2 linked regions of the Macaca mulatta genome follow. The protein of the gene in region 1 purifies or fractionates together with the protein of each later gene. This does not show direct contact. Links are inferred from orthologs where the notes say so. Each region holds a gene or a part of one and is shown on either strand. Other genes may lie near its edges.

Region 1 (4,286 bases):
CATAGCAACAGCTGGGAGCGAAGGCATGGAGGGACGAGAACGTGCACTCACACCCGGCCTGCCTGGCTCGCACTCTGGGCAAAGGGATCAGAACAGTGCCTGGCACACACGTTAAGTGCTATGTGAGTGTTAAGATAAAACTAGGATGTCCAGTGGGGAGAAAGCAAGCCTTTGAAGATTATGTGCTTTTACAAACTTCAAGTGCAATGAAAATTAAACAAGATGTTGTTCAGGCATTCATATATGATATAAAGTTCCTTTTTTTTTTTTAAAGGGATGTGCTGGGCACGGTGGCTTATGCCTGTAATCCCAGCACTTTGGGAGGCCAAGGAGGGCGGATCATGAGGTCAAGAAATCGAGACCATCCTGGCCAACATGGTGAAACCCTGTCTCTACTAAAACTACAAAAAAGTTAGCTGGGCGTGGTGGCGCGGGCCTGTAGTCCCAGTTACTCAGGAGGCTGAGGCAGGAGAATCACTTGAACCTGGGAGGCTGAGGTTGCAGTGAGCTGAGATCGCGCCAGTGCACTCTAGCCTGGCGACAGAGTGAGACTCCATCTCAAAAAAAAAAAAAAAAAAAAAAAAAAGATGAGCAGAAAGTAATTTGGGAGCTGCAGGGAGGCAAGGGTAAGGGATGGGGAAGTGAACCAGAGGCATATGCGTCATTGGCAGTGTCTAAGCACTCAGGATAGGCGTGGATCACAGGGGCTCACTCTGTAATTAAAAGGAAAAGGGTTTTTGTTGTTGTGTTGTTGCTGTTGTTGTTGCTGTTTTTGAGACAAGAGTCTTGCTCTGTCATCATCCAGGCTGGAGTGCAGTGGTGCAATCTCAGCTCACTGCAACCTCCGCTTCCCGGGTTCAAGCGATTCTCCTACCTCAGCCTCCTGAGCAGCTAGGACTACAGGTGCATGCCGCCATGCCTGGCTCATTTTTGTATTTTTTAGTGGAAATGGGGTTTTGCCATGTTGCCCAGACTGGTCTCGAACTCCTGACCTCAAGTGATCCGCTCGCCTTGGCCTCCCAAAGTGCTGGGATTACAGGTGTGAGCTACTGTCCCCAGCGAAAAGGAAAAGTTTTAGTGTAGTAACCCTTCAGGACTAGGGGCCTTGGGCTTCAGCCTCAGGCTACCTGGGTGCTTTAGGAAGGAGGCCACCCAGGCCCATGACTACTCCTTGCCACAGGGTGCCCTGCACACAGATGTGCTGCCAATGGCTAAGCTCTCACTGCCAGCCAGAGGGAAGAGGGTCTGAGCCAGTCAGAAGGAGATGGGCCTCAGACAGTAAGAAAGGAGGAGGAGGACCCAAGCTGATCCAAAAGATGGGTCTAAGCAGTCAAGTGGAGGAGGGTTCCAATCTGATGGTAGAGGGCCCAAGCTCGGCCTAACGAGGAGGAGGCCAGGCCCACCAAGGGGCCCCTGGAGGACTTGTTTCCCTTGTCCCTTGTGGTTTTTTGCACTTCCTGTTCCCTTGCTGCTCACTGCGGAAGTTCCTCTTCTTACCCTGCACCCAGAGCCTCGCCAGAGAAGACGAGGGCAGAAAGCACCATGAGTGGGGGCCCAATGGGAGGAAGGCCTGGGGGCCGGGGAGCACCAGCGGTTCAACAGAACATACCCTCCACCCTCCTCCAGGACCACGAGAACCAGCGACTCTTCGAGATGCTTGGACGAAAATGCTTGGTGAGCTGGGGATCTCCTGCCCCCGCCCCGTCCCCACCATTTCTTCCTCTTCCTCTCCTCCTTCTCTCTCTTCCCCTCCTCCCGCTCCTCCTTTCCCTCTCCATCATCTTCTCTCCTAGACTCTCCTGTTATCATCCACCCTCCCCAGGAAGATCTCAATGTCTACTTGCCTTCCCTCTGGCTGCAGCTCTTCCTTCGGGCCCATGACTGTCATGAGGCAGGAAGGACCAGGTCTGGCTCCAAGACCTTGTGGCTACCCCTGACCAGACTCCACTGACCCCTGCTTTCCCCTCCCAGACGCTGGCCACTGCAGTTGTTCAGCTGTACCTGGCACTGCCCCCTGGAGCTGAGCACTGGACCAAGGAGCATTGTGGGGCTGTGTGCTTCGTGAAGGATAACCCCCAGAAGTCCTACTTCATTCGCCTTTACGGCCTTCAGGTGACCCCCCCCCCGCCCCTGACTGGACTTGCAAGCCAGTTCTCAACCCGCAAACCCAGATCTGTGTCCATATGTGTCCACAGTCCCAAGACCTCAGACCTGATCAGTGAATCCCTGAGCCCCAGAACCAAAGACTCATCCAGATGGCAAACTCTGGCTTGCCTTTCTAAGTCTGCAATGGCTGGCCCCAGTCTCCATATCAAGATCTCTAAAGCCCCCAGTATTAGTCTGCTGCCTAAGCCTAATCTTTTCCACAAATTCCAATAAATGAGCACTGTATTTGTACCTGAACCTCAAATCTATTCTAAACTCAACATTTTGCATCCCAGGAATCTCTCATCAAAACTCCTGAACCCCAGATGTTTGCCAAGCTCCTAAGTCATAAATCTGTTCAACAAACCCCAAAGTTGAATATTCCATTGATCCTTGAACTCCAATTCTGTCCTTTTAAATCCACAGCACAGACCCCAGAATTCCCATATTAAAATTCCTGAACACTCAAATACCGAGGTGGTTCTTAAGCAAAAAGTCTTTTCCACAATTCCCCGACCTGAACTTTCTAGGTTTAAGCCCCAAATTCATCCTTCTAAACCCATAAAGATGGACCCAGCATAACTTCCAGATCCCAAGACTGTCAAATATTCACCAAACTCCTAAGTCATAACTCTTCTCCACAAACCCCAAATTGCACTTACTTTAGCTGGACCCTCCGCAAAACTCCCAAGTCTACGTGTCTGAACTTCAAATCTCATCTCCAACTCCCAAATACTAGAATCCTACCTGTCATGAATTGGGGCTGGGGTGGCAGGGGAGGGCATGGATTGAATCTATGAATGAGCCTCAACTTCCTAAGACTAGAGTCCTAAATTATGAAATTCAAGCTCCCAAGTCCCACATCTAGGGCCCCGAACCCCAAATCCAAACCTCTCACAAAAGTGTATGGCTCCCAGACTATACTCCACATCCACACCCTTAGATCTCAGCTCTCTGGTGCTGAGCTGGAAATCTCCAAACCAGACCATGAGGCCCCCAAATCCAGACACCCTGCTCCCTGCCCAGCTAACAAAGGCCTGCCACCCCTGGTGTGCCTCAGTGCCACTGTGCCTCCCACCCTACACCTCTCCAGGCTGGTCGGCTGCTCTGGGAACAGGAGCTGTACTCACAGCTTGTCTACTCCACCCCCACCCCCTTCTTCCACACCTTCGCTGGAGATGTAAGTGACCAACCAGCCCTCGGGCCTCACTTGGGGTGTGGAGAGGAGATGGGAAAGCTGTGGGGGGACCTGGGAGGCGGCTGACCCCAAGATATGTGCAGGACTGCCAAGCGGGGCTGAACTTTGCAGACGAGGGCGAGGCCCAGGCCTTCCGGGCCCTGGTGCAGGAGAAGATACAAAAAAGGAATCAGAGGCAAAGTGGAGGTGAGGAGGCCGCAGGGGAGGAAAGGAAGTTGGGCAGAGGTGAGTGCAAGCATGGGGAACTAGAAAAGTTATCTCTCATGGTCCTGGCTCCCAATCCATCTGTCTATCCACAGACAGACGCCAGCTACTCCCACCACCACCACCAGCCAATGAAGGTGAGAACTCTAGTGCAAGTAGCGGTAATAAGGGGCTAGCCCAGGAACCTGTGGCAGGGTTGTGATAGCTCTCTACACATTCTATCTTCCCAGAGAGAAGAGGAGGGCTTCCACCCCTGCCCCCGCACCCAGGTGGAGACCAAGGAGGTGCGTGCTGATTCTTCCCTGTGTCTCTGGATGGATGGGTGGGTAGGTGGAAGAGTGAATGGAGGAATGAGCAGTTGGATGGGTGCGTAAGTGGGTGAATGTATGGGTAGATGGATGGGTATGTGGATGGACGAGCGGGTGCATGGATGTGTGGATCGATGGATGGGTGGATGGATTGGTGGTAGATGGCTGAGTGGAGGGATGAGTTGATGGGAGGATAAAACTCTAAGTAGATAGATGCATAGGTGAATGGGTATGTGGATAAATGAATGAAAAGGTAGATGGATGACTGAGTAAATTAGTGAATGAGTGAATGAATGAACAGTGAATAAACGGCTAAATGACAAATTTCAGTCAGTGAAGAAAGCATGATTGAATGAATACAAGAGTAAATGAAAATTTTAACAAATCCATTAGTCAATGAGCCAGTGAATGATAAAGCATGAGGGAATGAA
Region 2 (3,500 bases), on another chromosome or scaffold:
TAACCTAAATACCGGGCAAGTGTTGCATGTGGTACAGGCTCTTTACCCATTCAGCTCATCTAACGATGAAGAACTTAATTTCGAGAAAGGAGATGTAATGGATGTTATTGAAAAACCTGAAAATGACCCAGAATGGTGGAAATGCAGGAAGATCAATGGTATGGTTGGTCTAGTACCAAAAAACTATGTTACCGTTATGCAGAATAATCCATTAACCTCAGGTTTGGAGCCATCACCTCCACAGTGTGATTACATTAGGCCTTCACTCACGGGAAAGTTTGCTGGCAATCCTTGGTATTATGGCAAAGTCACCAGGCATCAAGCAGAAATGGCATTAAACGAAAGAGGACACGAAGGGGATTTCCTCATTCGAGATAGTGAATCTTCGGTAAGTTGATTTTCAGATGTAAATACAAATAGAGCTCTATGTATTAAAAAGAAAAAGAGAAATGGAGAGGTTAAGTGGCTTCCCTAAAGTTAACCAGGTAACAAGCTGGGACATAACATAAGCATAAATGTTCCAAAGCTAAAGTCAGCATTCTTTCTAGCTATCTATTTTCAATGAAAAGAGAGTTGTGGCAGTGATGCTACATGCTGAGTTATTTGGTCTTTTCTAGTTCTGTTGATTTTGCATTCCTGATATATTTTCTGTTGCATTAAACTAAATGGAGAAAATGGAACATTGACTTCTTCATTGAATGTAGAATAATACTGTAGATTAAATTGGGAAACATTTTAAAAATTGCTATTGGATACAATGTGTAAGAAGATAGTCACTGTAGTCCTTATGACATAGGAAATCCCTGAATTTAAAAAATTGATACTAAGTTTCTTCATAAATTGGTTACCTGGAAATTGGAATACACTTTTTATTGTAATCTCAAAAAACCTATTTTAACACTGTGTTTGAAATGCATTTGCAATAAAAGGTAAATTATATTGCAATACTAGTAAACAATAAAACTATAAAACCATAAAAGTTGAAAAATAGTATGGTTTCATGGTCTCTTAGATACTGTTTAGGATATTAGAATTTGATGACACTCATTTTCCTTAAAAATGCCCTTTTCCTTGATAAAAGATATCATTACTTTTCCATTTATTAAATCATGATTAATCTTGGCTTTGCGTGAGTATATTTGTACAAAAGGGAATGTGTAATTGCACAAAATTTTGAAAGAAAATGTGTGGAAGTGGGGTGTGGTGGGGAGAGAGATTAATTGAACTTCTAATATGAAGTTCAGGAAAATGGGGCCTGTGCCTAATCCCTCAGAAAAGCAGTTGGTTGGCAGTAGGGAAGAGTGATGACATCCATTTTCTGTTAGTTGCCTGATCTGGCTCACTGTTTGAAACTTTGGGAGTAACTGTAGAAAAAGAGGCTTTTGGGGGTTGATATAGACTGTAACAACAACAACAACAACAAAAAACCTAATTAAAAAGAAAATAGCTTGAATGCAGAATTGTGTGTATTTTCTTGTGGGTAATTGAGCATAAATATAAGACAAAATACAATATATACCATTATTTTTAGCAGTATACTTTTTAAGGTTAGGTCTCAAGTAGGCATATTTTGTTTAGCCTTCACAGTGTTTTTTAAACGTTTAAATTCATTGCCCATATTTAAATATTAGGATATTTATTGTAAAAATTCAGACTTTGGACCATTTAAAATTGAAAGAACTACCAACATTGAGACCCTATTCCTGCGGGGCAACAATCACAGCTGAGAAGTCACCACTTCTTTAGATTGGTGATACACTGTCATTTTCTCTGCCCATCTACCCTTCCACTCTGACACTTGTTTACGTTATTCTTTTGGCTCTTGTAGGCATTTGAGTTTGTGGCCTTTCCTTAAAGTTTAGATTAATTCTCATTTGTGTGTTCTTCATTTTTGGGAATTCAGCGTGTTATCCCTAAGACAGCTACTGTTAGCTACACATTGAAAAGGGGTTGGGTGGGTATCTTAGACTTTCTCATGTGTTTCTCTGACTGGAGAGAAGATAGCTCTTGTTCTTCAAATATGTAAGGGATTTGCTGTGGGTGTCTACTGGTGGAGCTGTGGGTGTTAAGAGACTTTTGATTACACAGGTTTGAATCCTGGCTCTGTTGTTAACTAGATGGATGATACTGGCCAATTTATTAATAGCTTCCCTGAGACTCAGTTTTCACATCTGTAAAAAGGGTTTTGTTTTAGGGAGTAAAGGAGATAAATCTATGTAAATAATTTACCATGGTACCTAGGACTTAGTGCTTAAATTTTAGCTTTTAGTTTAATATAAAAATACTGATAGAGGGCTTTCAAAATGTTTACTGTATTTTTTTTTCTCTTTTAGCCAAATGATTTCTCAGTATCACTAAAAGCACAAGGGAAAAACAAGCATTTTAAAGTCCAACTAAAAGAGACTGTCTACTGCATTGGGCAGCGTAAATTCAGCACCATGGAAGAACTTGTAGAACATTACAAAAAGGCACCAATTTTTACAAGTGAACAAGGAGAAAAATTATATCTTGTCAAGCATTTATCATGATACTGCTGACCAGAAGTGACTGCTGCATAGCTGTAATTTGTCATGTAATTGAAGACTGAGAAAATGTTGGGTCCATCGTGCTTGATTGGAAATGGCTGTTTCTAAACCTTTATGAGAATTGACAATAAGTATTTTTATTATAATTCAGCCCATACATATATACTATGTATGCAGTGCATCTGCATAGAACAGTTCCTTATCCTTGGCCTTCTGTTTTATTGTTTTTTTTCTTTGCTGTTTTCCCTTTGCTTCTAATATTACAGTTTTGTATTTTGAAAAAAAAAATCAAATAATGCTTATCAGAATCTTTATATGGAAGAAATCCTTTATTGCCTATCCTTTGTTTCCTTGTAAAGGCGCCCTGTTCTGTTATGGTTTTTCATTATATAAAATTATTATATCTATATATGACATATGCTAAAATAAATTTCTTGGAGAGTGTTAATCTTTTCTGTGACTAAATAGCAATAATAAATGAAAAATTAGAAATTATTTCCAGGTATTATATTTGTCACAGGCCATTGTAAATACCAAGTATATTGTGTCTGCCTTAATTTTAAAAAATGCATTCATTGTCTTCAGTCGTACAGAAAGACACATGAGACATAGATTAGAAAACATGTTGTACAATTTTAATTTACAACTGTTGGAAACAAAAATCACTTTCTTAATTTTTTTTCCAGTGCTTCTCCCTTATCTGGTTATTCAAGAAAGCCAAATTGTCTCTGAGATATTTAGCTTTTCAAACTATAAATAGATGCTCTAGTGTTATTTATTTTTTTTAATCCCACTTATTTTACCAGGGCATCTTGTATTAGGATATGTTATATTTATGCCAGTGGGAAACAAGTTATGGCCAAGTTTTGCAAAAATAGGAAGCAGTGAGATACTTGGTTTTTTCTCCTCACTAAATATCAGTAATTATCAGGAATGGTATTACCTATTTTCATTTCCTCTTTTCAGCTTTAAATT

What was found. The genes of interacting proteins can lie anywhere in the genome.
Region 2: the proteins of WAS (region 1) and NCK1 purify together in Homo sapiens (affinity purification with western blotting; 4 studies listed by BioGRID and IntAct, with this or other methods). This does not show direct contact. The link is inferred for Macaca mulatta from reciprocal best matches to the Homo sapiens genes WAS and NCK1.

What each region holds. Positions count from the first base shown.
Region 1 is NC_133426.1:48,758,521-48,762,806, forward strand, and holds the start of WAS (actin nucleation-promoting factor WAS), read left to right. Parts: upstream 1-1,486; 5' UTR 1,487-1,542; coding exon 1,543-1,674; intron 1,675-1,971; coding exon 1,972-2,112; intron 2,113-3,238; coding exon 3,239-3,325; intron 3,326-3,426; coding exon 3,427-3,529; intron 3,530-3,642; coding exon 3,643-3,684; intron 3,685-3,777; coding exon 3,778-3,831; intron 3,832-4,286. UniProt on the Homo sapiens protein: Effector protein for Rho-type GTPases that regulates actin filament reorganization via its interaction with the Arp2/3 complex. Important for efficient actin polymerization. Possible regulator of lymphocyte and platelet function.
Region 2 is NC_133407.1:39,960,492-39,963,991, forward strand, and holds the end of NCK1 (SH2/SH3 adapter protein NCK1), read left to right. Parts: coding exon 1-388; intron 389-2,333; coding exon 2,334-2,528; 3' UTR 2,529-3,070; downstream 3,071-3,500. UniProt on the Homo sapiens protein: Adapter protein which associates with tyrosine-phosphorylated growth factor receptors, such as KDR and PDGFRB, or their cellular substrates. Maintains low levels of EIF2S1 phosphorylation by promoting its dephosphorylation by PP1.